4 linked regions of the Pelodiscus sinensis genome follow. The protein of the gene in region 1 interacts with the protein of each later gene in a pairwise test. Links are inferred from orthologs where the notes say so. Each region holds a gene or a part of one and is shown in the gene's direction. Other genes may lie near its edges. The genes, in order: TXLNA, DTNB, BTF3L4 and HYPK.

Evidence for each region.
Region 2: the proteins of TXLNA (region 1) and DTNB interact in binary tests that used the Homo sapiens proteins (3 or more experiments, as listed by UniProt). The two-hybrid records come from large-scale screens. The link is inferred for Pelodiscus sinensis from reciprocal best matches to the Homo sapiens genes TXLNA and DTNB.
Region 3: the proteins of TXLNA (region 1) and BTF3L4 interact in binary tests that used the Homo sapiens proteins (3 or more experiments, as listed by UniProt). The two-hybrid records come from large-scale screens. The link is inferred for Pelodiscus sinensis from reciprocal best matches to the Homo sapiens genes TXLNA and BTF3L4.
Region 4: the proteins of TXLNA (region 1) and HYPK interact in binary tests that used the Homo sapiens proteins (3 or more experiments, as listed by UniProt). The two-hybrid records come from large-scale screens. The link is inferred for Pelodiscus sinensis from reciprocal best matches to the Homo sapiens genes TXLNA and HYPK.

The regions. Positions count from the first base shown.
Region 1 is NC_134735.1:3,556,561-3,564,060, forward strand, and holds the start of TXLNA (alpha-taxilin), read left to right. Parts: upstream 1-4,483; 5' UTR 4,484-4,643; intron 4,644-7,198; 5' UTR 7,199-7,226; coding exon 7,227-7,446; intron 7,447-7,500. UniProt on the Homo sapiens protein: May be involved in intracellular vesicle traffic and potentially in calcium-dependent exocytosis in neuroendocrine cells.
Region 2 is NC_134713.1:429,496-436,915, forward strand, and holds the start of DTNB (dystrobrevin beta), read left to right. Parts: upstream 1-4,405; 5' UTR 4,406-4,559; intron 4,560-6,049; exon of another isoform or gene 6,050-6,132; intron 6,133-7,420.
Region 3 is NC_134719.1:9,174,641-9,182,238, forward strand, and holds the start of BTF3L4 (transcription factor BTF3 homolog 4), read left to right. Parts: upstream 1-4,597; 5' UTR 4,598-4,741; intron 4,742-6,314; 5' UTR 6,315-6,322; coding exon 6,323-6,376; intron 6,377-7,254; coding exon 7,255-7,368; intron 7,369-7,598. Other genes in the region: TXNDC12 (thioredoxin domain-containing protein 12 precursor), read right to left, coding at 3,296-3,392.
Region 4 is NW_027466027.1:114,089-120,685, forward strand, and holds HYPK (huntingtin-interacting protein K), read left to right. Parts: upstream 1-4,052; 5' UTR 4,053-4,144; coding exon 4,145-4,330; intron 4,331-4,646; coding exon 4,647-4,702; intron 4,703-5,474; coding exon 5,475-5,526; intron 5,527-5,799; coding exon 5,800-5,895; 3' UTR 5,896-6,075; downstream 6,076-6,597. Other genes in the region: SERINC4 (serine incorporator 4), read right to left, coding at 1,528-1,554. UniProt on the Homo sapiens protein: Component of several N-terminal acetyltransferase complexes. Inhibits the N-terminal acetylation activity of the N-terminal acetyltransferase NAA10-NAA15 complex (also called the NatA complex).

The DNA.
Region 1 (7,500 bases):
CCATTTCACTGTGTAATACATGGGAGGATAAATGAAAGGTACACTCTTTAATTTTTTTTACCAGCACAGGTCTATGCAAACTCCAAAACTAAATGAAATATGTCTTAAATATAAGATCTGGCCTTCTGGGACTAGTGTAATGAGAAGGGATATGTGTAGCTAGAGGTCTGACTAGTGAACTGGATAAAAGACTATTAGAGTGAATAGTATTTTGTAAATTTTCCTCATCTTCTCTGGATCCCTCCTTGGAACAATCCAGGAACCTTAAGAACTTAAGGGGTTTTTAAAGGAAACTTATAGGCCTTAGGACTGGCAATTAAAAGGCTTATTCTGCTGCAGTAACTGTTTTAAGCACTAACTCATATGAAACAAACCTTTGGTGTGGAACTGGTACTATGTCCTTAACACCCCACCGCTTTAATCAGTTCATGGTTGGGTTGTTATGCAGCCACTAGTGAGCATGGCACAAATGGGAGGAACAGTATACAGCTGTTTATCCAGTTCAAATCTGGGAACAGGAGTTCAGGCTATAGTCCCATCAACAGCCAAGAGTGATTCAACCTACTTTAAAAAAAGAAACCCAAACATTTCTTTCATAAAAGCTGAACAATCCTGGCTATTTCTCCAATGTGTGGCCCTTTGGAGGTACATTATAGCTGTACCTGGGTTGGTAGGCCTTGTGAGGATACACACTTGCTTTTAGTGTGATGTGTACAGATAAAAGATATCTATACACATTGACTTGAAAATGTATCTAAGTTGCCAACACTGTAATAGATACAAGATGCAAAATAAAAAGTCTGTTCCAAAGCTGACCTAGGTGCTCAAATCTGTCTGGATTATTTTTAGTGTCAATTGGGTGATCCTAGCAGCAGCATTGAAATATACCAGCAGGGTGCTCACATATGAACAGAACATCCCAGTGCTAAAGCATGTACACCGGCAGCCCTGCATGGACGCAATTTATATCCACATTGCAAAAATGAGCTGCAGATATTTGCAAGGTTCTAGATACAAAACTTGTTTTCATATTGTGCTACAGCCATGAATGTGAATAGCTGTGGTTATACAGTGGATATCCATGGATTTGCTGGGCTCTTACACCCAATATATTGGTAAATATAATAAATTGGTAAACTGGTTTGGAAACATGAATAAGGAAAAGTTATTCCTACAATAGAAGAACTAGGGGGCATCAAATTAATAGGTTTAAAACAAATGGAAGTTTTTCCTTCTCTCACCGTACAGTCAACGTGTGGAACTACTTGCCAGAGGATGCGGTGATGACCAGGACTTTAACAGTGTCCCAAAAAGATACATTCATGGAGGTTAGGTCCATCAATGGCTATTAGCCAGGATGGGTAAGAATATCCCCTAGCCTCTGTTTCTCTAGAGGTAGGTGACAGGAGAGAGATCACCTGTTGTGATTCCTCCCTCTGGGGCAGATGGTATTGGCCACTGTCAGCAGACACACTATTCTGTTCATAAATGCATAGCTAAATGCTAGGAAAACTCTCCAAAAGCTTTGATGGTGGATTGCTTGGAAATGTGTAAATTCAACATGGGGGAAAGACCACTTTGCTGGGCAAGCACAATTTGAACTGTGCCAGCCCAGGCCTCATCTACTGCTATATGGGATCATTCTATTATGCCCATTTCACTCTTTCCTCCAGAGGAGAAAAATGTACTAATCGAAGCGGTCTTCAAATTCTACGTTGTCCTTTTCACTCAGCTGGGACTGCAGATGCAGCTAAAGGTCTAAGCGCTCCTAGCTGTAAATCAGTGGTAGCAGGGCTAGTTTGAGGTTAAATGCTACTTTAACTAGCCTGTCTCCCATACTATTGTGTATGGCAGGTAGGCAGCACTGTGGAAAGGGAGAAAGAAGGTCCCTGTCAATATACCTACATTTTAAACTACTTAATTCATTCTCAGGGAGATTTAATTAGAACAGCACAATGCATATACTGTACTGTTGACCATACTGGAGACTACCCAGACCAGCAGTAATTAATCCATGAGTTAGCTGTAATTTGCTAAGTGCTGGGACTGCAGTTTTCTTTGAGCCCAGTAGAACTTCAGTAATGAACAGACAAATCAACCATATACTAGAGATGTGAATGTGTACCCAAGTACACAGTTAGGGCCAGGCTCATCAGTTAACTCTGCTGCCTACACACAGCTCCCCCTGCATGTTAACATGTAACCACTGAAAGTTACAGCAGTTACATATTTACACAAATGCATTTTAACATACCTACCATACACATCATTTGGAATTGGAAAGATACAATCAGGCAGCAGGGAGAGGAAGCAAATACATGTATTAAATGAACTACCAAAAAAAGTTTTAAAAAACATTGACAAGGAAACTACTTTCATTGAAAGACAGTCAAAATATTTTTCTTCTGGAAAGTGCAGTTTCAAAGCTGTATTAAGTTCAGTTGTAAACCTTTAAAAACAACCCTGTTTTGTTCAGACTTATGAACCTCCATTCCTGAGCTATTTGTAACTGTGAGTTTCTACTGTAGGGTATGATACACAACTTCCTCCAGACAAAATGTGACCCTCTATTATCCTCTTGTTTACTTTTGCTTGAGTAAGCAGTATGGTGCAGCCAGACCTGTTCCTTTGGTTTGTGGGGATCCAAGTGTGCAATTCAGCCTACTACTATTGCAGACTCAACCTGTAAAAGGTGAGGAATATGATTTCCACCATAACTAATGGTATAGTTCCCCATTTGTAGGAAAGGTGCAGCTATTCCCTAAACACCTTAACAGCCACTTGAGTAATTCAAACTTACTTTGTGAAGTAGCTAAGGCTATAAAAGGCCAAAGGAGTACGTCTGGGCTGTTTCCACTAGGCCAGTTTCTTGACTTGAGCCCTGGCCTTCTCTTGCTCCAGACTCAGACTGCCCCTCTAGTGGCTGTGCAGCTTAGGGAACTTGAATCTATATTGGGGTGTAGGTAAATTCTAAGGTGACAGGCTAGCCCCTGCTATCCTCCACCTACCTTGGACTAGCCCTCTTACTTGTGAAAAATGTCAACAAAAGAAAGCTACCACTGCTGCTCCCTAAAGTGGGTGGGGGTAGAGACTATGGTTCAAAGTCATGGCAATAGTTAGGCTAATGCATGTAGCTGTTGCTCCTCTCAGCTTTCTTTTCACCATCCCCAACCCTGGCTAGTGCCTCCCTGGCAGGAATGTAAAATCCCATTTAATCTGTTAACCAATTAAATGTTTGGTTAAACCAGTTAAGTGACTGAGTTGGATCCTGGGTGAGGGCCCACTTCAGCTGGGCTGGAGCAGCCCGTGGGGCTGCCAACTCTGCTGGCCTAGCCCATGACACAGTGGGCCTATGAGCCTGGAACAGCTGCCCACCTGCGAGCGGGAGGCTGCTCCTGGACACTGGTTAACTGTTAGCCAGTGGGCTTCAGCCTTATCGCGTATTGCCTATTTGGTAACCAGTTACCTGTTCACACCCTTACACTCTGCCCCTCTCCTCACAGCTCCCCCTGGAGATAGTAGCTCCCACCCCCGGGGCTAGTGCCTCCCTGGCCCCCCTCCTAACAGCTTCCCCCTCTCCCCCCCCCCCGGGCTAGTGCCTCCCTGGCCCCCCTCCTCACAGCTTCCCCCTCCCCCCTGGCTATTGCCTCCCTGCCCCCCTCTCCTCACAGCTCCCCCCCTGGGGCTAGTGCCTCCCTGGGCCCCCCTCCTCACAGCTTCCCCCTCCCCCCTGGCTATTGCCTCCCTGCCCCCCTCTCCTCACAGCTCTCCCCCCCCCCAGGGCTAGTGCCTCCCTGGCCCCCCTTACCCCCGGGCTAGTGCCTCCCTGCTCCCCTCACAGCTTCCGCCCCCCGCCAGGCTAGTGCCTCCCTGCCCCCCCCCCTCAAACCCTCCCCCCAGGGCTAGTGCCTCCCTGGCCCCCCTCCCCCCGGGCTAGTGCCTCCCTGCCCCCCTCTCCTCACAGCTTCCCCCCCCCCTGCCGGGCTAGTGCCTCCCTGCCCCCCCCTCAAACTCCCCCCCCGGGCTAGTGCCTCCCTGGCCCCCTCACAGCTTCCCCCCCCCCTGCCAGGCTAGTGCCTCCCTGCCCCCCTCTCCTCACAGCTTCCCCCCCCCTGCCGGGCTAGTGCCTCCCTGCCCCCCCCTCAAACTCCCCCCCCCCGGGCTAGTGCCTCCCTGCCCCCCTCTCCTCACAGCTTCCCCCCCCCCCCCTGCCGGGCTAGTGCCTCCCTGGCCCCCTCCTCACAGCTTCCCCCCCCCCGCGTTGCCCTTCTCGCGTTGCACGCCGGGAGCTGGATTGTCGCCCCCTGGCGCGTTGCACGCTGGGCCCTGTAGTCGCCCGGGCTGCCCGCCTCGACCGCCGCCGCTCAGCGGTATTTCCCGGCAGGCCCCGCGCCGCCCCGCTCGCGGATTGGTTGGCGGAGCCGGCGGATGACGGCGCATGCGCACTCTGTACCCGCTCAGCGGCCCGGGCTGGAGGCTGCTGCCGCTGGGCCCTTCGCAGAGCTCGGCGCTGAGGAGGAGCCGCGGGGAGCGGGGACCGCATGCAGGGGAGCTCGCCCCTCTGCCGGAGTGCGGCCGGCGGGCGCTACGGATTGGCGGAGGCGAGAGAGCCACGTCAAGCTTCTCGGCGGTGACGTCACGCGGTACGTGAGTGACGTCACTGCAGTGGGGGGAGGGGCATAGGGGTGTGAATGGGGGAGGTGGAGGGGCAGGAGGGAGCGGGACGGGGTGTGAATTGGGGCAGGGCAGCATAGGGGTGTGAATGGGGCCGGGGAGGGAGCAGCATAGGGGTGTGAATGGGGCCGGGGAGGGAGCAGCATAGGGGTGTGACTTGGGGCAGAGGCAGCACAGGGTGTGAATTGGGGAAGGGCAGCATAGGGGTGTGAATGGGGCCGGGGAGGGAGCAGCATAGGGGTGTGAATTGGGGCAGAGGCAGCATAGGGGTGTGAATTGGGGCAGGGGGAGAAGGGAGCGGCATGGGGTGTGAATTGGGGCAGGGGAGCAACATGGGTGTGAACGAGGCTGGGAGGGCAGGGGATGTATGAATGTGAATGAGGCAGTTGGGGGTGTGACTGGGTAGTGTCAGATGGTATTGTACGGCTGGGTGCTGTGGGAGTGCAGGTGAGGGCAGGGAAATGTGGGGAATCATGGGTACCTAGCAGCTTAGGAGATAGATAGGGACAATCGTGCACAGCTCTGTGGGGACTGGCACTTGCAGAGGATGCAGAGGCAGTGGAGCCTGTGGAGTTGGGTGGAGCACAAGAGCACACATTGGGCAGTGTAGGGATGTGTACAATTCATGGGATGCCACAGGGAGATGGAGCATTCATAGGGATGAGCTGACAAAGGGGCTGTACGCAATGTGGGAAATCAGTGCTGCTAAGCCTGTATGTGAGAGAGAGGTACATATTAGGGGTGTAAATTCTAGATTAATCAGTTAACTGATTAAATGGTAGGTTAACCTAATGTTTAACCGGTTATCTGACTAAGCAGGATCCTGGGCTAGGGGCTGCCAGATGCAGGGGAGGCCACAGGTTACGGGGGGAGGGGGCTGCTCCCAGGTAACTGGTTACCCACTCACATTCCTAGTACATTTTGGTGTCTGTGTAAGAATAGTTGACATGCTTGCCTTGGCCCCCGTTACTTTTAACTTCCGTCCCTGGCTTCATAAAGCTGATTGTGCCCTGAGTTGCTCTCTGAGAAGAAGCATAGACTTAATTGTGTGTAGCTATGCTCAAATTTGGGACAAAATGTTTCTTTCATCAAATAATTCTGTGGGGGATCCAGATTGTCCTGGGACAGCTACGCTGCCTTTGTTTCATAATTGTGAGTGTCTCTGAAATGGGATAGAAATGTAGCCGTGTTAGTCTGGTGTAGCTGAAACAAAATACAGGACTATATAGCACTTTAAAGACTAACAAGATGGTTTATTAGATGATGAGCTTTCGTGGGCCAGACCCACGTCCTCAGATCAAATAGTGGAAGAAAATAGTCACAACCATATATACCAAAGGATACAATCAAAAAAATGAACCCATATGAAAAGGACAAATCACATTTCAGAACAGAGGGGGGATGCGGGGGGGGGGGGGGGGAAAGGAAGGTAAATGCCTGTGAGTTAATGATTTGTCCTTTTCATATGGGTTCATTTTTTTTAAATTGTATCCTTTGGTATATATGGTTGTGACTATTTTCTTCCACTATTTGATCTGAGGAAGTGGGTCTGGCCCACGAACGCTCATCATCTAATAAACCATCTTGTTAGTCTTTAAAGTGCTACATAGTCCTGTATTTTGTTTCTGAAATGGGAGACTGCAGAGTTGCTGCAGCATTTGCTTTTCCTGTTATCTGAGTGGTGAATGAGGGATATGGGTAAAATAATGAAAGAGAGTATATTTCTGGAAGGGTGTGAAATGGAAAGAAGCTGGAATTTGGCCTGTGTGTGTCAGTTCTGTTTCATGGAGATAATTGGTAAATCTTTTTGTTGCTGACTACCAGCTCTTCCTAGAAACTACATGCTTTCCCTCTTAGCCTGGTGTTTTAAGAGAAGCTGGCCCTTCTCCTATCTTGAGGATCCTGAGTCAAGATTTTGGCTTCTGTCCATCCCTCCCAGGCTAGGAGAGTCTGTGTGCTTAGTAAAAGCAATGCATTCAACACTAGAGAGGGAAGTTCTCGTGTCAGTCTGCAGGGGCCCTTCTAGGCTAATGCTGGACTCCATTTCCTGGTGTTTTATGGAATGAAATGTTCTGAGAGCAAAGCATTAAGTGAAGGGTGGAGTGGTGGGTCCATCAGAAGACTGTAATCTACAGAATACAGAGGTGACAGAGCCATTTACTCTATGTGGGTTTGGGAGTTACTGGCTTGGCTCCAAAGGAAGCTGTCTCTAGCCACCCTGGAGGAACAGCTATCCTGACATGGAGCCCTTTATGGTGAGGGGGATAGCTTACAGATGTGGGAGGAAGGGTGCGTTTACTTTCCAACAACAGAATGGAGTTAACAAAGCTTCTATTGAGTACGAGGCAGCATCTGAGTCTTACGACTAGCCGTGGATGGAGAGGCTCAATGAAGAACCTTGTTCTCTCAGTTGTGAATGTTTCAATCCCTGTTGATTTCACCTAGCAATGAGTATGTTGTAGGATGCTGACTTCTGCTAAAATCCTGTTACAACTAAACCCAGGTGACGTTTCTCTTTCACCAGGGTTTGAGACGGAGTGGGAAGAAGAGACATGATGAAGGACCAAGGTGGGGAAGACAAAGCTGCCCTGCTGCCTGCTGGTCTTCCCAAAATGAACAGCAATCTGGTGCTAGACGAAGGCGACTTAGCTGAGGCTGCAGCACCCCCTGAAGCTGGGGAACCCCCAAGCCAGTCCAGGACTTGCAGCTCTGAGCCATCTGCTGATGGCAATGCTGAGAGCCTGACTAGTGAGGTGCAGGATAAAGATGAGGGTATGTTTCAGCGTTGAGCTTGAAGGGCCATGCCTGCAGAGAGGCTGTGGCTTT
Region 2 (7,420 bases), on another chromosome or scaffold:
TCAGGGGATGTGATGTATCTTGACTTTAGCACAGCTTTTGATACAGTCTCCCACAATATTCTTGCCTGCAAGTTAAGGAAGTATGGATTGGATAATGGACTGTAAGGTGGATAGAAAGCTGGCTAGATTGTTGGGCCCAATGGGAAGTGATCAACAGCTTGATGTCTGGTTGGCGGTTGGTTTCAAGAGGAGTGCCCCAAGGACTGGTTTTAGGGCTGGTTTTGTTCAACATCTTTATTAATGACCTGGAAGAGGGGATGGATTGCACTCTCAGCAAGTTTGTGGATAATGCTAAGGGGGAGAGGTAGATAAATTGGAGGATAGGTATAGGGTCCAGAGTAACCTAGACAAATTGGAGGATTGGGCCAAAAGAAATGTGATGAGGGTCAACAAGGACAAATGCAGAGTCCTGCACTTGGAATGGAAGAATCCCAAGCATTTTTACAGGCTGGGGACCGACTGGCTAAGTAGCAGTTCAGCAGAAAAAGTCCTGGGGATTACAGTGGATGAGAAGATGGAGACCGTGTGCCCTTGTAGCCAAGAAGGCGAATTGCATATTGAGGTGCATTAGGAGGAGCATTGCCAGCAGACCCAGGGAAGTGATTATTCCCCTTTATTTGTCACAGGGGAGGCCACATCTGGAGTATTGCATCCAGTTCTCCCCCCTGCTCCCCTCGTTACAGAAAGGATGTGGACACATTGGAGAAAGTCCAGTGGAGGGAAACCCTAGGAGGAGACGCTGAGGGATTTGGGCTTGTTTAGTCTGCAGAAGAGTGAGGGGGGATTTGATAGCAGCCTTCAACTTCCTGCAGGGAACTTCCGAAGAGAATGGAGAAAGGCTGTTCTCGGTAGTGACAAATGGCAGAACAAGGAGCAATGGTCTCAAGTTACAGTGGAAGAAGTCTAGGTTGGAAGTTAGGAAACACTGTTTCACTAGGAGGGTGATGAAGCACTGGAATGGGTTACTTAGGCAGGGGGTGGAATCTCCATCCCTAGAGGTTTTTAAGTGCCAGCTTGACAAAGTCCTGGCTGGGATGATTTACTTAGGGTTGGTCCTGCTTTGGGCAGGGGGCTGGACTCAATGACCTCTTGAGGTCTCTTCCAGCTTTGGGATTCTGTTACTCTAAATGGATGATACTTACCAGTTCCAGTTAACCAATAACAGGTGTTGGCTGCAGCCAAGGGCAGGGGGCTGCTCCAGCCCTGCAGGAAGCCCCTCTGCAGACAGGAACTGCTGTCATTCAAAGCAGCCTCTGTCATTGGGTAGCCCAGGTGCCCCACAGGCAGGGCCTACTCCAGTGGAGCCTGGGAGCTGGCAGCAGCCCCATTGTGGGGTTGGGTGCAGAAGCCCCACAAGGTCAGGGCTGCTCCAGCTGGGCTGATGCAGTCTATAGCCCAGATCCCACTTTTAGTCATTTAACCAGTTAAATGTCTAACATTTAACTGGTTAACTAATTAACTGGGATTTTACATCCCTAGTACTCGCAGGGTGCATGTTTGGATTTTTCAGAGCCCAGGATTATAACTTCATGGATAAGTAAGGATCTTATTCCCTTCAAGAGATATTGTAAATTGAGTTTCTGTCCTCACTGTTATACCAGGGAACTCTGCATGCCACCTTGTCACATGGCTTACCATACCTTGACTTCAGAGGGTATGACCTAGGCAGCCCATGGCACCAACAGGCTGAAGACATAAAATGCACATATGTCAGACAGGAATCCTGAGTCCAATAGCTATAGAATAGTTCACCAAAGGGTGACATATAAGGTCTTTACTGAGAGCCAATAGCCAGTGGTCATCACCATTATTGTGAAATGTATGAAACAACAGTATTTTAAAAGCAATGTATCCCTACTGGAACTTATGTTTTAAAGCCTTGAAGGTTAAAGGCAGGTCACAAAAGTGACATGCCTCATGTCTGTTTCTCACTATACTAAGTTACCAGCTAAGCAAGGCAGAGACACTGATGAGACTTTGAAGTCAAGAAAAAAATACACAGCAGCAGGATGCATGGTTTATTAATAAAGATCAAAGGACTGCTCTGATATATCTGGGATTGCCAAGGGTGAGGTAAACTTAAGAAGAGAATAGCTTTTGAATTAAGTCCCGATTCTTGTTGTTTTATATGTAACCCTTTGTTTTCAATAATTCTATTTGATATCACCTGACTCTCTATATTTTGTTAAATAGATATGATTCTTAAAAAAACCAAATAAGTGCTATGTATTACATTTGTGGACAGCAAGATTTTTAATTCTGAAATGGAAATTGTGCTGGCTGTAAGATGTTTTAGGTAGGAGTCAAATTTAGAAACAAAAAAAAGTGATAACTACTCCAAGATGTGTATGCAAACCAAATGTTGTCTGCCTGAGACACCAAAATATGACATTAGATTGTCCAGTTATTCGGAATCATAGTGCATGCTCTGCTAAATTGCTTCCCCTTAGTATGGCTATAATGCCCAACTGGCCTCTTCAGAAGGTGGAGATTACATGGTTTACTAGACTCTGAGACTTCTTCAGTGTAGCTCTTTTTTAAAATGGGATCATTTAAAAAGGTAGGCGTATTCTCCTAAGCTTTTTCCAATATTGCTTCTCCAAAGCGATAGTGTGTACTGTCTTCTATCTGAGGTAAATTCTAACATGCCAATGTGCGGATGATCAGACCAATACTTTGAACACAAAGTACAGGTAAATTAGGTTACAAGAAACAGGCGATTTTGTTAATGGCTGATGGAGAGGAGATGAGGAGCCCTGTATCTTGGGAAATCCTGGCTCAAGTGTCCCCCAAATTAACCACTAAGCCTATCCTTCATCTCTGTGAAGCATAACAAATGTCAAGGTGCTGTTGGTCACCATATGGATTGTAGAGCTAAGAATAGTAGTATTTTAAATAGTGGCTGTCAATTAACCATAGTAAAGCTGTTGCTCTGGAGTAATAGCTGGTGATGCTGAAGAGTCCGCTTCACTGACTGATAATGATGATCTCTAGCCCAGACAAGGGGGGAAAAAAGGCTCTTCTACTAATTTACTATCATTGCTGAATTTGTGGCTCAATTGAGTCGTCATGCTCCAACATTCCTGTATTTACGGTTCTGCCTCAGGTTGCTGCTTCCTGGGAATGTTCCTTCCTTGCCTCTGCTGGTGCCCTGTCCAGGCCGGAGATCATGTGATTAGAGGGGCTTTGAGGCATATTGACAGAGAACTCTGCCAACGCCTAACCAGAGTACAGCAAACTGTAAGTGCTCAAAAATCATGGGACTGGCATCTATCTGTCCATTCATACACACCCTATGTATCTATCCCCCCACACCTCCTCTAGCTATCCATCCATTGCCATGCATCCCACACCCTCTCGATCCGTCCATCCCCATACACCCCCTCGATCTATTCATTGCCCCACACCTCCATCTATCTCCCTGCTATTTATCCATCCGTCCCCATACACCTCCTTTATCCCCCCTACACCTGTCCGTTCATATAATCCTAGAGCCAGAAGAGATCTCAGGTCAGCAAGTCCAGCCCCCTGCTCTAGGCAGGACCAATCCCAACTAAATCAACCCGGCCAGGGGTTTGTCAAGCCGACACTTAAACACCTCTAGGGATGGAGACTCCACTACTTCCCTAGATAACCCATTCCAGTGCTTCACCACCCTCCTAGGGAAAGAGTTTTTCCTAATATCCAACCTGGACCTCTCCCACCACAACTTGAGACCATTGCTCCTTGTTCTGCCACCCGTCACTACTGAGAACAGCCTTTCTCCATCCTCTTTGGAACCTCCCTTCAGGAAGTTGAAGGCTGCTCTCAAATCCCCCCTCACTCTTCGCTTCTGCAGACTAAACAGCCCCAAGTCCCTCAGCCTCTCCTCGTAGGTCATGTGCTCCAGACCCCGAATCATTTTGGTTGCCCTCCGCTGGACCTGTTGTCTGTCCCCTAAACTGCCTCCATCCATCCCGCCACCCCCCCACCCCCCCCCATACCCCCCCGTGCCCCACCCCCGCTATCTGTGCCCCATCCAGCCCCCCCCCGTTACCTGTGCCCCATCCAGCCCGTCCGTGCCCTGGCTGAGTTGCGAGCCTGAGGGGAGCGCGGGCCGCTCCACTGCGGGGCGGGGCGGGGGGGGCGGGAGCCGCGGGCCCAGGGAGGCTCGGCCGCGCACCTGAGGCGACGCGCGCGCGCTCGGGGCTGCAGGCAGCGGCCCGTTGGCGGAGGGAGGGGGCGCGGCGCGGAGCGGCGCTCGCTGATTGGCGGCAGAAGCGCGAGGGCGCGGCGCGGAGCGGCACTCGCTGATTGGCGGCAGAAGCGCGAGGGCGCGGCGCGAGTCGCCGGACAGAGCCGTTTGCCGATTGGCTGAAGCGCTCGCTCGTCCGAAACCGCTTCCGCGAGGCGGCCGGGGGAGGGGCTCGCGGGGCGGTTTGAGCGCGCGCGCGGAGGCCGCCTCGGATTGGTCGGAGAAGGCCTCGCGAGGCCGGCGCGGAGGCGCTCGGGAGCCGGGAGCGGAGCCGGGGCCGCCGCCTGCCGCCGCCTTCCCCAGGAGCGGCCTCGCCCCCGGACAAGTGAGTGCGCCGGGCGGGGCGGGGCGGGGCTGCTCTCCCAGCGCCGTGCGGGGTCGCTCGCCGGGCTCCCGGGGCCGAGCCCTTCTCCTCGGCCGCCGCTGCCGGTCTTCCGCCCGGGCGCGCCTCGGGGCAGGGAGCTCGCTGCGGGCCCCGCTCCGCCAGCGCGCGCGCCTCCCCGCCTTTGTGTCCCTGCTGCGGGTGCTCGGCAGCGGCCAAGCGGGCCCTACGGGGGTGGGCTGCCCCGTGTGTCCCGCGGGGCGCGGGCTCCTCGGCCGTGTGCCCCGGTGTGAGCAGGTATTGGCGCTGGAGCGGCAGTGCTGTTACCGAGGTGCTTTCGGAGAGCCCCCCCCCCCCCCCCCGTTAGACACCAGCGCGCCTGTGAGAGGCCATTGCAAAGAGCGGAAACGAAACTAGGTTGTGACATTTCTGAGACTCCGACTGTGAAAAGCAAACAGGGGGAAAAAAAGCTCAGGTCGCTTTTATACAGGATAAAGAAATAAACAGCAAATTCCCCCTCCCCCCCTTTTTTTTGTAGGTAACTTTTTTAAAGATTCAAAAAGAAATTAGGGTCAAAAGTAGAAATTGCCCCAGAGAGTTTTCGTGTAATCTAGGTAATCACGATTGATTTAATATTGTGCGGTATTGAACACAGGACTCTGTACTTGAACCGATACATACATTACATTATTTAACCAGCTTTTTGTAACTTACATTTGATGTTATTTTTGACAAACACACAGTAAATATACAAAGTACATCTAAGTGAGAGATCAACTTGTGAAAAATAACGGTTGTACCTCCCTTAACTGAGACTCTCTGGTCCGGCAACATCAGAGCCCAGATATAGGGAAGTTGGGCCACAGATGGTGATACTGCTGAAAAGGAACTAGGGATTACAGTGGATCAGCAGTTGAATGAGTCTGCAATATGATATATTAGTACTCCCCAACTTTTTCACGATTACAAGTGTAGTATGTCCATCACTGAAGTTAACTGTCTTGCTCTACTCGTTGTGCCTCCACTGTAGTACAGAGTCCTGTTCTGCACGTCACGTGTTAGGAAATAAGATTTTACAAACTCTGCATGCTTTATCTTCAGAAAAGAGAACTGAGGGGATGCATTGTAATAATTTTCAAATGGATTAAGGACTGTTAGGAAGAGAACAGTGATCAGTTATCATCCCTATCCAATGAAAGTAGGGCAAGAAGTAATGACGTTGATCTGCAGCAAGAGCAGTTTAGGTTAGGGATGCTAAAATTAGGTTATTTTAGTAATCAAGTAGTCAATAGAATTTTTATCACACCAGGACCAAACCTTGCTTATCAGTTAATGCTATCTATTAAACTCACCTGGCTTCCAGGGAGGCAGCTTCACTGTGGCATCCGTGTCCCTGGGAGTGGAGGTGGCAGGGGCTGGAAGCCCAACTCCCAGGGAGGCTTTGTTGTGGGCTCTGCAGTATCTCTCTATATAAAAAAGTTTTTTCCTGCCAGATGACAGAATGTTTCTGCTGGGCGACAGAATGATGTCATCACGTTACCTGCATCAATGGGCTTTCTCAGCAAAGTGAAAGCGGGTAAGCGAGCGTAGCGAGCAAAGGTGCAGCCCCCTAAAAGCTTAAATAAGAAACATATTGAATAGAGCAAGACAGAGCCCACAGTGCTTGTAGCTGCTAAGATTTTCAGTGGTTAAAGAGTTACTGTTTTAGCTAACTTCTTACATCCTTTATACTTGGGGGTAGCCGAGTTAGTCTGTACAGGATAAACTTAGAAAACAACAAATGGTCTGGTAGACTAACTTTATAGACTTTATAGACACTTTATAGACTAACAAAACGTATAGCTGGTATCATGAGGTTTCGTGGGCACAGCCATCTATATTTTTTGTTAGTCTATAAAGTGCTACCAGACCATTGGTTGTTTGTTTTGCCTGTTAATTGTTAGTTTAACTAAAAAAAGAAACATTCAATCTTTGCATAAGCCTGTAACACCTCACAATCAACTCATTTCATAACTCCAAATAGATCTGTCACATCAACTCTATTAATAAACTACTATTCTAATACTCAGAACATCACTTTGAAAATTTATAGATGTTTGATATAATTTAATCTGTCCTAGCGCTCTTTTGAAATCTTTACTCATTATATCTTGCTTACATTAAAAACCAAGTACAATGTGAGAAGTATATTTTCATTAATGAACAAAACAAGTGGCAAGATGTTATGCAAACATGGTATGGTTTTAGTGTCTGCTACTATAGTATACAGTCTTTCAGGATGTTGGACAGAAAATTATACATTTGTAGCTGTGTGTGTACTCTGAAATGTACATATTCAAAAAATTACTTGCTTTGCAGTAATCCAGTAGAGAAGAGCAAATTTTATCTGAAATTTGTTTTGGGTGTGGCAAAGGCCACATAATTCAGGTGTGCCAATATATAATTCTGTTGTCTTCATTTTGTCTCTCTAATGTATCTCATTGTAAATCAGGCCTTGATTATAACCGTCGGTAAGAGTTCATATTTCCTTCCTTCTCATCAGTATAAAAAAGCACTTATTTATTTTGATTTTCATTTATGTTTTTATTTTACATTGACGCCATATCTTAGCCTTTCATTACACAGGTTGAACCTTTGTGATCTGGGACTCTCTGGTTCGGCTGGACCACAGATGTTGCTGGGCTAGAGAGCCTCAGAACAGAGGTTACTGGCAGCTTGGACCAGAGCTGGCTGATTGGGGTAGTGTAGCCCATAGGGCACCAGAGTCCGCAGCTGGCAAGACTGGGTAATTGGCAGGGATGCCAGAGCTGGCAGGGCAGGGAGGCAGCAGAGCTCACAGTGGGCTGGGGAGCTGGTGAGGCTGC
Region 3 (7,598 bases), on another chromosome or scaffold:
TTTATTACATTGCTCTCATCTGTGAATATCTGCTAACTGTTCAGAGACATCATATTAAACTCTGAAGTTTATTCTGCTTACCAATTTCTGTTCACTATGAACTACCCCACTATCCTATTTCACTTAAGCTACCAAATATTGAAATAGGAAAAGGTTCAGAAAAGGGCAACAAATATTAGGTGTATGGAACCGCTTCCATATGAGGAGAGATTATTAAGGCTGCAACTTGGAAAAGAGACAACTAAGGTGGGATATGACAGAGGCCTATAAAATCTTAACTGGTATAGAGAAAGTAGATAAAGTGTTATTTACTCCTCCTTATAACACAAGACCTCCGGGTCACCAAATGAAATAGGCAGCAGCTTTAAAACAAACAAAAGGAAGTATTTCTTCACAGAGTGCACAGTCAACCTGTGGAACTTCTTACCAAAGTATGTTCTGAAGTCTAAGACTATATCAGGGTTTTAAAAAGAAATAAATTAATTAAATTAATAAACACTTGCTGTTAGCCAGGATGGGCAATGAAGCCAATGGGGCAGAAACTAGGAATGAGTGACAGGAGATGAATCATTTGATGATCACCTGTCCAGTTCATTCCTTTTGAAGCATTTAACATTGGTCACTGTAGGAGGCCAGGTTACTGGGCTACATGAACTTTTGGTCTGACACAGTGTGTCCATTCCTACATTCTTAACCATTAGACAGTAAACGCTTTTGGATAACCAACTTTGGCCAGATGTAAAGTAGTAATCTACAAATAAAAGGTTCCATAATCTCTTGAAATCGTCACCTAGTTTCCTTGCACAAAACACTTTGATGAATTAGTATGATTTATGTGTAATCATCAGCATATTATGTTCTGCTATAATTTGTGTAACCCAAAGACCTCTCAATGTCAACTGACAAAAGGCATAAGGGTTACAGGAATACCCTACTCTGGTATTTGTATTTGAGTTCACCAGAGTGTGTCATGTGAGGTCTCTAATAAAAATCTGTGTAACACCTGTTATGAATATAAAAGCACACGTATGAATGTTGTGTAAGGAGTTATGGACATACACTGAAAATTATGTTCTTAAGGTCTACGTCTGATCACCAGCAAGAGTGAAAAACTGGTATTTTTCAGGCAAGAAATATTTCTTTTTGTGTACATTTAGGTCTGGATGGAGAATAGATCCATGAAAATGGATCATAGATGATTTCCTATTCCATTCATTTCCTCTGAAGCACCTGGCATTGGTCACTGTTGGAAGACAGGACACTGGATTAGACAGATCATTGGTCTGACCCAGTACAGTTATTCTTATGTTAAGTATTCTATGCTTCAAAATGGGTCTCCACTTTCCAGTCTGAACCAAATGCTGAAGGACTGTGATATCTTCAAAGAGAGGGAAACAATAGGAAGAGATAAATAGTGGAGGGAAGAGGTGAAGCTTATTGGCAGGTCAATATCAAAAGTTTCCTGTGGTATATTTGGGGGACAAAGCACAACCTGGCATTCTTCACCAAGGAAATAAATGACTTTGTTTTAGGAAAAAATCTCAGAAAGGCTGGGTTGAATACACCGGAGAGAATATTAGGTGAGATAATCTTGAAACTGTAAGGTAGCTTGCTAGTTAGGCTTAGTGTCTACAAAACATTTTTTGATATGTAATCATTTGTTTCCAATATTAATATTCAATCACTTGAATCTCTGTTCTTGGATAATAAACGTACTCTTGTTTTCACTATACATATATCTAACGGATGAGCATTCAGTAGAACTGCATTCTAAGGTGTAAATAGGCCTGGTAATTCCAAGAGCTCAGTGAATAAGCAGCTGAACATTACTGGGAATATTGAGAGGATTTGGGGGACAGGGTATGACTATCCCTAACTTGCAAAGAAAATGTGAGGCCTGCGGAGCCTCCAGGACAGCACTGCCAGAAACTGCGGCAGTCAAAGAGCTGACACGCACACAGACAGGATTGCCTCATGGTAAGAACAAACAATGAATATAAGCACCCCACGTGCAGCAGTGCAGAAGTAAGGGTGGCAATGCCGTAATATGCCATCCTTGTTTCTGTGCTGCTATTGGCAGTGGCTCTGCCTTCAGAGTAGGGTTCCTAGCCAGCAGCTGCTGCTCTTCAAGTGCCCAGCTCTGAAAGCAGTGCCAACACCAGCAGCACTGCAGAAGTAAGGAAAGCAGTACTGCAACCCTCCCACCCCAAAAAACTTTTTTGGGGGTCAGGACCCCTACAGCAAGGCTACGTCTACACTGCAGGATTTTTGCGCAATAACAGCCATTATTGCGCAAAAACTTGCGGACCGTCTGTACTGCACGTGAGTTCTTGCGCAAGTAAATTTACAGTAAAGCTTTGGAACAGAGGGCTTCTTGCGCAAGAGTTATTCCTCTCCCCATGAGGAATAAGCCCTCTTGCGCAAGAGCTCTTGCGCAAGAAGGCAGTGTGGACGGGCAAGGGTTTCTTGCGCAAGAAACCCCTTTGGCTAAAATGGCGTTTTCTTGCGCAAGAGGGCGTCCACACTGCCATGGACGCTCTTGTGCAAAAGCGCAGCTCTTGCGCAAAAGCTTATGGCAGTGTAGACATGCTCTTGCGCAAGGCAGTTCTTGCGCAAGAAGCCTGCATTGTAGAAGTAGCCCAACAGCATGGTGACATTTCAGATTTAAATAGCTGAAATGATGGAATATACCATTTTAAAAATCCTATTACTATTAAATTGACAAAAATTGTGAATTTGGTAGGGCCCTGCTTTTATATTGCATTATTCCAGGGATGCCAAAATGAGACCATCGGAAAGGGAAATTAAAATTATACTTGAAATTAATTGAAAGACCCCTTACAAAATGCTTCAGCACCAAAGAAAGAATTTTTAAATGTCCTTAAAACTGACTCAGAACCAACAAGACATTTTATGAATGAAAATGAAATTGGAAGTGGCCATAGAGACATGGAGTATCAAAAATAGAGTTCCGACAAAGAATAAAACTATAAAACCCCCTCCTCTTCACTCCCACAACATTAATGCATTTTCCACTGCAATTGCTCAATTTAGAGCCCAGCACCATAATATCTTGTATGTTTCAGCTTCAATTCTACCAGTAAAGCCATCATCTCCTGATCATACCTACTATGAAGCTTATAACAATAAGCACTATTACTACTTGACTGCATTATTGCAAATATTAAATGCAGTAGTAGGAGGCAGGGAAGGATCCTCCTGATTAGGGATTTATTTACTTATTTATAGCAATTATAAAGTTTAAATACAAACAAAAAGAAAAGAGATGCCTAACCCTTTCCAAGCCCTTCTCCAGCAGAGGATGTGGTAAGCACCAGGAAAATCAGACAAAGAGAGAAACTGGAGAGCGCTGCTGCTAATTGAATCTTCATGGTGTCCGCTTGGATCCTCGGCAGTACGATTATTTCTCGATGGCCACTGTCAGCAAGATCAGAACAGATAGCTTAGGGGTTTGGGTTGTGGGGTTTTTTTTTAACCCAGGAAGTGATGTTGGGCGGATGTGGGTGGTTCTTCAGAGTCCCGTTTCAGGTAGGTTAAATAAAAGGAACAGATCCTCCAAAATCTGAATGAGAGACTTGCTAAAATATTTTGGATCTATGGGTACAGTCCTGCATATTTGTTTCCAAACTGTCTACTTTCTTAACGAGATATTGCCAGGGAAGGGGGACATTTACATTCATCTGGACTTGAAAGGAGGAGCTCAACCGAGTCACGGACACAAATTGGTTCTACTGCACCAGCCCCTCGCGAGGGGTAGTAATAACAAGTCCAGAATTTGGCTAAAGCAGTAATTGTTATTACCGGAATGATTTAATGTTTAACTAATCCGGTGCACGTACGTCCTGGAGGACTGACTGAGAGCGGGTCCACATTGATTGGTTGCTCTTCAGTCCCGGTGAGCATGGGGTGGAGTGTTCATACATCACTATGCTCAAAGTAATCTTCAGGGTTCTCTATATTCGCACCTACCTGTTTGCAAACTGAGAAAGTAAAAGCTGGAATGATGCAGATCTTAAGTTATATTTTTACAATCTTTGGAATTATTCCATTTAAAACTCCTGGCTCTTAAAATGTCTCAATGTAAAAATCTTGATCAGCCAGCCTTTGACCCCTTAAGAAGTATCCCAACATGCTAATTTTGGGTAATTAGCCCCTGGACTCTTCGGAGGAAATGCTACATGGCTTTACGACCCTGCTTTCACTTTACCCGTTGCAGTCCTCGGCGCTGTCCCATTGCAAATACCACGGCTTTTATTTTTTGCAAAAAAAAAACCACCCCAAAGAAATCCAAAATCCCAGAGGAAGCACGCACTGCGCTGCAGAAATCCTCCTCCTGCCTAGACGAGAGCAGTAAGGAAGGGCACGGATGGTACTAAGGCGGGGCCCAAAAACCACCTCCGCTCCTAGGGAGACTACAATTCCCAGAATGCTCTACCTCGACGGGACTCAAGAGTCCTCCTATGCGCCTGGCATGCTGGGACTTGTAGTTTCTCTCTGCGGATTGGGCGTGCCGAAACGAAAGGGAAGAGGAAGGAGCCGATTTCAACTTTCCATGTTATGCAAATAGCTCCGTGTCCCTTCCAATCGGAGGGGGAGTGGGCGGGGCTCACAGTCCCGTGGTCCGCGGCCTCCTTTCTCTGTGCCCCTCTCTTTCCCTGCTTGGGGCGGCCGCCATCTTGTTCTCACCGCGTGTTGGCTGCGGAGGGTTTGCCGGACTCAGGTGAGAACTTTCTGTTGTCCTTCCCCCCCCCTCCCGTTGTTCTTTAGCCCCCCCCCCGGATTAGCCGCCCCCCCCCGCTACGCGGCTTCGCGCGCCTCGGTCGGCGGGAGGGGCGGCCGGTGCCCTGAGGGGCATGGGCCTGCCCGCTGCCTGAAGGCTGCTCGGCTTGTTCGGCGGAGCCTCGCCCCCTCCCCTCAGGGCTGGCGATGGGGGGCGCCCCGGGGCAGGGACCTTTCCCTCCCTTAGCGCTGGAGATGGGGGAGGGGCCGTCTCCCCGACCGTAGACCCCGGGGGCGGCGGGGTTGGCTGTTGGCAGGGCCCCCTGCCCGGGGCTGGGATGGGGGAAGAGCGAGCGATAATCGCTTCCCACCTCGCGCGGGCTGGGTATGGTGGGGGGAAGGGGGGGCCTCTCCCTTTGGGCTCCGACCACTTTTCTAGCTCCCCGGGGCTGGATTTTGTCCCTCCCCCTTTTCAGGGGCGTACGCCCCGTCGCTTCAGGTATCCGGGGCAATATTGTGGGGGGGTCTCTCTTATGTTCCTCCTCCTGCTGAAAACGATGGGGAATTTTCTCCTGTAAAAAAATGAACCTCCTTTCTCCCACCTTTGTAGGGGCTGCCCCACAAAATCCAGCCCTAGTTTCAAGATGCATCCACATGGGAACTCTTGTTAATGCATTAGGAGGCTCTGCGCTCTCTTCTCATAATAGCACCACCACCACCCGAGCCTAGCACCTTCCTTTTATTGCCAAGTATGGAAGTTGTGGAGGGGGGGGGGGTGTCTCTCTGCCAAACAGTGAAATTAATGCTTTCCTGGGGCAGAGCAGCTAAATGCCTCCTAAAAGAACTGTAAACAGAAAGTGTTGCATGCTGCTTCTTGGTCATGTTGGTTTTGGTTTTAAGGAAAGCCAGTAATCACGTCTTCTTATACAGTGGGCACGCTTTTTAACTTCATAATGGATGAGTTGAATATTGTATGTAGCTCTGTAGTCCGTGAAGGATATTGAGACAGTGGTATTTACATAGACTGTATGATAAAACTTATGCATTCAAAAATGTAGTGAGCTATTATACAGCTGTTTGAGATTAATCATGGAAATGGCAATGAAAGCTTTTCAAGTAGTTTATGGAAGACTTCCTTTTCCAATGTCACCTTGCCACTTTTACTGTAATGAAGTGCAGTAGTTTGAGATATTGCTGCTGTGAAATGCATGCTGTTTTGGAAAGTAAATTGAGTTGCTTGTCATTCACCTGTTAGAGGGGTTAGGGAGACACAGACTGATGGGATGGTAAACAAGTATTAAAATTAGGATATGCTAACTGTAACTTAAATTGACATGAAATTTAAACATATTTGCTTTTGTGTGCTATATCATTTAGATGATACAGCTTATATATATGGCTTATCTTTTGTTCTTGTTAGCAAATTTTTTTGCTTGTTACTTATGATATTGATGTAAAGAGCATGACCATTTTTATTAAAAAATAAAAGCAGTGTCACACAAAATTGAGCTTATTTGTGTAATAAACTTGTAATTTAACATTAGGCTAATATGATTGATATACTTATTTTTCAGACAGCATCATGAATCAAGAAAAACTAGCTAAGCTTCAAGCTCAGGTCCGAATAGGAGGAAAGGTAAGAGGAAAACAACATCAAATTTATAGAGGCACCTACCATGTCTTGTTTTCATTGTATATTTTAGAGGTCTGAAATAATATGTTATGATCAGGATCATAGCACTTTTTTTTTTTTTAATCCAAAACAGTTGGTTGCCAATATATGGAAAATTTATATGTTGATTTAACCATTTACATGCACAAGTTTAGTTCTTAAGTGTGGAAGGTTGTTTGTAGAAGCTTGTAGCGTGAAATATGAATAATACATTTTTCCATATTTGTAAGATTTGCTTAAATTTAAATTACTTGATTAATTGTCTTTTTGGCAGAATGTATTTTGTGCCTTTCTTAAAATAACTTTTGGAAAATAAGGAAGAGAAAGAAGGAAAGTGTACCTATTTCCTCTTATTGAGAACTTGTAGTAAAATACTTTTGTATTTTAAATAAGCCAGTGTAACTTTTAAATTCATATCAAGATGTTCAATATAATACCCATTGACTTAGTTTTTTAAAAAAAATCCTGAAACCAACATTTCCAGGTAAAGACTACTAAACAAAATTTTAAAAAATCATAACCTGAAAAGAACTTTGGGCCATAAAACTTTTGTGTACTGTAGAGAGGATAAGAGATGGAGGAGCATCATGTGATTTAAAATTTGTGGAATAGTGTATCTTTTGGGAGAGAATTGTTCATCTCTGTTTTGTTTGCTTTTGAACCTTAAAAAAGTGAGCCTGGTTGTCAGCCCAGGCCTGATAATTATCAGAGTGGCTTTGACAATAAAAGTGCAGCACTCAGCAACTCCCTTTTGTTGAAACTAGTTGATATTAGTACATGTGACTGCAGTGTCAGATCTTCAGAGTTGCTGACTAATGTTTCTTTCATTGTCTGATTTTCAGGGTACTGCTCGCAGAAAGAAGAAGGTGGTGCACAGGACAGCAACAGCTGATGATAAAAAACTTCAGAGTTCACTCAAAAAGTTAGCAGTAAACAATATTGCTGGCATTGAAGAGGTATAGTGGTATAATTATTTGCCCTGTCAATATTGTTCATTTTAAAAATAAATTGACATCTGGCTAGATGCTGAAGTGCTAAGAAAAGTTGGGTCTGATCTCCCGGACTTCAGTGAAACTAGTCTTGATTTACATAATTAGTGTAAAGGATAGCAGAATATACACTAGAAATGTTAAAATGCATGTTGAAATGCATGCTTATTGGATAGTTGACTGGTGGCTTACATCCC
Region 4 (6,597 bases), on another chromosome or scaffold:
AAACAGGGAGGGTGTGGTGCGGGTGTGGCGGGGAGGGTGTGGGTAGTAAAACAAAAAAACCGCCATGTAGCACTTTATAGGCTGACAAGATGGTTTATTAGGTGATGAGCTTTCGTGGGGCAGACCCATGAAAATTCCCCATATTTCGTAGGGAATATGATCTGAGGAAGTGGGTCTGCCCCATGAAAGCTCATCACCTAATAAACCATCTTGTCAGCCTATAAAGTGCTACATGGCGGTTTTTTTGTTTTACTACCCACACCCTCCCCGCCACACCCACACCCTCCCTGCCAAACCTGTGCCACACCCATGCCCTCCCTGCCACACCCACACCCTCCCTGCCACACCTGTGCCCTCCCTGCCACACCTGCTTCGCACCCTCCCTGCCATACCTGCTCCCTCCCTGCCACACCCACACCACAGCCGCCCCTTCCCCGCCACACCTGTGTCGACTCCGTGACACCGGTGCCCTCCCCTCTGCACCCACACCCATACCCTCTGTACCACACCTTCCCCATCACACCTGCACACCCTCCCCACCACACTGGTGCCACACTACGCCCTCCCCGCTGCGCTGTCCCTGCCACACCCGCCCCGTTACAAGCTTCTGAAACCTGGCACACGTTAGCAGTCCCCTCAGGAAGCAGGGCGTAAAATCCGCTTTAGTGAGCAAACTGGTTCCATGTTACGTTTAACCAGCTAACTGATTAAAGGGCGGCAGGTGGCTGGAGCGCCCCCCCCACCACGAATTGCTGGGGGAGCCCCTGCTCCAGCCCCACGTTATCTGGCTCCGTGGAGGGGAGGCTTGCCAGTGACATGCTTAAGCAGGCACAGCCCCGCGGGAACGGACGCCCCCCCTGCCCCGGCGCGCCTGCAGCGGGAGGAAGCAGGACGGTGCTTGTGGGGTGCAGCCGCAGAGGCAGTGGCTGGGGGGACGGCTGTCCAGCACACGTCCCTAGCTAGGCCTTGCCTGGGCCCCGCTTGGGCGGAGGGACAAGGCGGGGCCAGGAGCCGGACAGAGAAACCACCCAGACACGTGCGGCTGGCAGGCCAGGGAACTTCAGTGGAGGGAGCCACCGAGCATCAGAGAGCAGGAGGGGGAACGAGTGTGTCCAATCTGTCGTGACCAGAGGGGGGCTCTTCCCACGGGCAGCCGGGGCCGGTCCAGTGTCCGGCAGGCACCAGGAGCCTGCCACCCTGGCTACTGAGAGCATCCCCACGGCAGACACTGCCCCGTAGCCCTGAGCCCCACAGCCAGGCCAGCTCGGGAGCGGAGCAGGGGGCCCGGGCCAGCCCTGGGATGGGACAAACTCGGCTGCCCTGGGGCCAGCACGGAGACCTGAGGTTTGAGCAGACCAGGAGGCTTTGCCCTGCTCAGTGGTGCCTCTCCCATGGCATCCAGGCCAGCTCCCGGCTGTTGCAGCCGCTGCCCCGCGCCCCGGCGGCGATCCGGGGCTCAGGGACGAGACCTGGAGCTGCCACAGGGCGATCGCAGTGGCTCCCGCGAGAGGCCTCGCTCTGGCTCACCTGTGCCTTCCAGCAGCTGGCCACCATCCCGCTGCAGGCCTGACGTCTCTGGCTCCCCCGTGGCGATGCCGGATGTGCTGCACCAGCCTCCTGGTCATCAGACGGGGGATGCCGGGGCCTGAGGGTTCTGCCAGCCCCTCCCTGGAGATGCCCCCACAGCTCCCTGCTCCTGAAAAGCTATCTCAAGTGGAAGCCAATTAGGCAGAGGGCTCTGATTGGCTGAATCTTGGTACTAGACCCACCCCCATGCATGATCTCCGGGCGACTCTTGTCTTTCATCGAGTGATTACACTGGGCACTAAATCAGTCCCCTTAACCCTCTTACCCCGCAGACGCAGGGATTAGCGATCCCTGGAGAGAAGCTGGGCACACGCCAGGCAGGCAGCGCGATGGCGGAAGCACCTCCAGAGCCCGCAGTGAGAGCAGAGCCTCCTCTGGCCGCCGTGTCTGTGCCTGGCCGAGCCCCTGGGACCAGGAGACAGACACAGCCCAGCCACCAGCTGGCGAGGCGGGTCCCGCCTAGCACTCGACCGATGGCTCTCTGAGCCCAGGGCCAGCAGCTGCTAAGAGTCGTCTTCACCGTGCCCGCTCCCCACTCCCCACTCCCTGTGCCTGCGGCGCCCGGCCCACACGGCCAAGGCCTGCTCGGGTCCCGGCCGCGTCAGAGGGGCGAACCTGCTTGGCATGGAAGGACACTATGGAGCGTCTCTCAGGAGTCACCGGGCTCTGGGCACGGTGCGGCTGCCCCATTGCAGACAGGCGCTAGCAGGAGAGGGGAACTTGCCCTCTGAACACAGGCCGAGGAGACTGGGCGGGCTCTAGGGAGGGGAGGCCGACAGGAAGGGCGATAAGAGTCTAAAGTGGGGGAGGCTCTCGTAACACAGCAAGGAAGGGGCCCGACGACACCGAGAGGTGGGCAGACTTCACCCGAGCCAGGAACTCCTGGCCACAGGGAATCAGCGTGGCCTGGGCCTCTCTGTGGCCAGCCAGGATATTCAGTGGCCTGGTGCAAGTGAACTCGGGCGGGGCGGGGCATGTGCTGCTCTGGGGCTTAGGCCGGTCTCCGCCATTAGGGATCCGACTGGGCCTGTGCATGGGCCGACTCTGCAGCTGCCGCCTGCAATCTGTGGCTGGGTGCTACATGGTGGCGGCGCGGGGCAGCCACAAGGGTGCTGTGCGCAAGAAAGCCCCTCCCACCAGCCCGAGCTCTGGAAGGGCAAAGAATCGCAGCAGACAGGAGGGTTCTCATCTCTAAGAAGCAGAAACAGAGACCCCCCGGCCCTAAAGGAAGTCCAGTGCGGACAGATTCTACAGCTGTTACCTCTTGGAATTAGAGACTGCACCCTTGGGTGTGTGCGTGGCCTACCTGAGCCTGTAAACAGCACGTTTCATTTCATAGTTCATAACTCCTTCCCTAGCAGAGCGCAGGGCCGGCTACCCGCGCTGCCTTTGCTGCGAGATCTGAGCACAGTGACCTGGGAGAGGAGGTGGGACTCTTGGGATTGGGAACTACCTGAATACTTGGGGATTGGGGGAACTGACCGTTCAGAACACAGGCGGGCTGCTGTGCCCAGGGGACTCTCTGGTAAGACTCTGTAGGGTGAACATTTCTGAGGCAGGCTGATATTCTGTTAAGAGCCCAATCTAAATTCAGACTCTGGGAATGGCACATGAACACAGTACATGGTTATTCCCCTTCCCCACCAGTCCAGCCCATCAACGGAAAGCCATCCCCCAGGATGGGAGGCAGGACAAGACACATTCAATGGTGCTAATGTCTCTGCTTTAATCCCCAGATGGACCGCATCCCGCAGAGATCCCTTCTTGGAGCTGACAGACATAGCACCACTTCACTGATAACTGATGTCCAGACTAACAGGCTACATCTCTATTGCTTTGTTTAAATACTTCTTGTACTGGAAACACGAGATAACTTTCTATTACTGTTCTTATCTTGCCTTACTGTTAGCATCTATCTGGGGGGGTCTGGGATCCCCCCCCCCCCCGGCACCACTTTGATCTGCCTATTGAGCATCCTATATAACTAGCTGTGACCTATTGTTCAGCAGTGTGCACTGAGCCCTGGCTCTGAATAGTCCTGGAGCCTGGACACCATATAACTCGCTGCCCATGCACCGAGGTACTCGGAGTGCCAGAACTGCACTAGAGCAAGCACTCTGGGAGGGAAGCCCTCCCCCGCACCCGCCTCCCCCCCTCCCTCGCCTCCCCTCCCCCCCCGCCTCCCCTCCCAGAGCCCTTCCCCCTCCCCCCCTCCCCCCCGCCTCCCCTCCCAGAGCCCTTCCCCCTCCCCCCCCGCACCCGCCTCCCCCCCTCCCTCGCCTCCCCTCCCAGAGCCCTTCCCCCTCCCCCCCCGCCTCCCCTCCCAGGACCCCGCCCCGCCCCCTCTCCAAGAGGCTGAGGCGGGGGGAGGAGGGGCCGCCGCGCTCACGACACTTGCCCGCGGGGTTTGTGCCGGGCCTACAAAAAGGGGGCGGGGCGGGGGGCGGGGCCGGCGATTCCCCTCCCGGACGCTCTGGGCTCACAGGCGCGTCTCGCTGGTTCCGGCGCCGCGCGCGGCCAGGTCCCGTGACCGGAAGCGGAAGCGGGGCCGGGCGCGATGGCGGCGGAGGGCGACGTGGAGCTGGAGCTGGAGACGGAGCCGAACGGGGCCGGGGGCGGCGCGGAGGGCGCGGGGGGGCGCGCGGCCGAGAAGCCCCGGAAGCACGACAGCGGCGCGGCCGACCTGGAGCGCGTCACCGACTACGCGGAGGAGAAGGAGATTCAGAGCTCCAACCTGGAGACGGTGCGGGGCGGGGCCGGGGACAGGGGGCGGGGCCTGGACAAGGGGCGGGGCCGGAACAGGGGGCGGGGCTTGGACAGGGGCGGGGCCGGAACAGGGGCGGGGCTTGGACAGGGGCGGAACAGGGGGCGAGGCCGGAACAAGGGGCGGGGCTTGGACAGGGGCGGGGCCGAGCGGGGGGCGGGGCTTGGACAGGGGCGGGGCCGGCACGGGCGGGGGCCCTGCGGGATGTTCTGGGCTCCTCCATCAAGGGTCCAGCTGTGCCTGGCTGTGCCTTCCTGAGCCGTGGCTCCCCCCCCCTTTCCCTCTTCTCCCCCAGGCCATGTCCGTGATTGGAGACCGCCGATCCCGAGAGCAGAAGGCAAGGCAAGAGAGGTAACCGCTCCCTGCACCTCTCCTGTAGAACTTAGAGAATCCTAGAACCACAGAGCTGCAGGAGACCTCAGAAGGTCAAGTCCAGCCCCCTGCTCTAGGCAGGACCAATCCCACCTAAATCAACCCGGCCAGGGCTTTGTCAAGCCGAGACTTAAACACCTCTAGGGTTGGAGACTCCACTATGTCCCTAGGGAACCCATTCCAGTGCTTCACCACCCTCTTAGGGAAATAGTTTTTCCTAATATCCAACCTGGACCTCTCCCACCTCAACTTGAGCCCATTGCTCCTTGTTCTACCATCCGTCACTACTGAGAACAGCCTCTCTCCATCCTCTTTGGAACCTCCCTTCAGGAAGTTGCAGGCTGCTATCCAATCCCCCCTCACTCTTTGCTTCTGCAGACTAAACAGACCCAAGTCCCTCAGCCTCGCCTCATAGGTCATGTGATCCAGCTCCCTAATCATTTTGGTTGCCCTCTCCAATGTGTCCACATCCTTTTTGTAATGGGTCAGCAGCCCACACCCCTGTCCTAAGCCATTTGGTCCGGTACTATGTGGCTTGGTTCTGCACATGCAGAATCTTCCTCTAAAGGCTCTGGGTAGTTTTTCTAGTTAAACTTTCTGCTTATCCATGGCCAGTCTCAATAACAGTGGCTTTGTCTCAGCAAAGAGCTACTGCAAGTGCTCTGGTTGTATTTGACAGTTGTGACTGAGCTGCTCTGCAAAGGGGAGTCTGTAAGATTGGTACTTTATCTTCTGATTCCTTTTGTCACAGGGAAAAAGAACTGGCAAAGGTTACAATCAAGAAGGAAGATTTGGAGCTGATTGTGAGTATGGCAGGAAGTGGTGCCAAGAGCGAGGCTGGGGCAGGCCAAGCCCAGATCTCAGTCAAGTTATTTACTCAGTCTCGGGGGCTCAGAATACGTGCACTGCAGCCGGAGGACAAAGGGCTGTAAAAAGTCACTTGTGTTCCTGGCGCACTGCAGTGCAGCAGAGACAGCAAATGTGTACGCTTGGTGCCAGCTTCAGTGATGCTGCAGCAGCAAGCCTTGAGCGAGGCCTGTGGTGCAGCATCTCTTCCCTTGGCTCCCTCCCTGCAGATGAACGAGATGGAGATCTCGCGGGCAGCAGCAGAGCGCAGTCTGCGGGAGCATATGGGGAACGTGGTGGAGGCTCTGATCACCCTCACCAACTAAGCACATTCCTACGGGACTGCTTGGTGCTTTGGGGAGAGAACGAGGAAAACTCTTGCTGGGACTTCAAAGTCTTTGTGCTGCCAGCCCTGTCCTGAGCACAGCCTTCGTGATAGTGGTGGGACAGCCAGATTGGTCAATGCTATGTGTTAACTTATTGAAATAAAGAGCGCGCTAATCTTCTGTGGGCAGAGTGTATAAAACAAGGCTCAACAGGCGCTGAGCTCCGTGCAAGAGCATGCAACAACTCCACCAGTTGTAGCAAGCTTGGGTCAGTCCACGGTGCACTGGTGTGCGAGCTATGGGCACTGTGTCACGAGACAAACCCCTTCAGAAGACAATGGCTGAGCTTTCAGAAAGGGAGAGCAGAGGTATCTCTTCCCACCCCTGCTGAATGGTTCTTGAGAAACTTTGTTCCCTTCCTCCCTTCCAGCGCTCTGTCTTGCTCCCAGGCTTAGGTTGAGCTAGCTTGCTAGCGCTTAAGCTGAGCCCCACTGTCTTCAGTCTCACATGGTATTGGCAGATCTTAATCCACAGGGGTGCTCTGTATATTTACACTGTGCTATGTCCTGAGTTAGCGGAAGGGGAGGTTCTGCCTTCTGCTGAGTTCCCTACTAGTGCTTCAAGGCCTCAGCAGCCCAGAGCCGCCTGCTTCGTCAGGCCCCGGGGGAGCGGCTGGTTTCAAAACAAGGTGGCAGGGTGCTT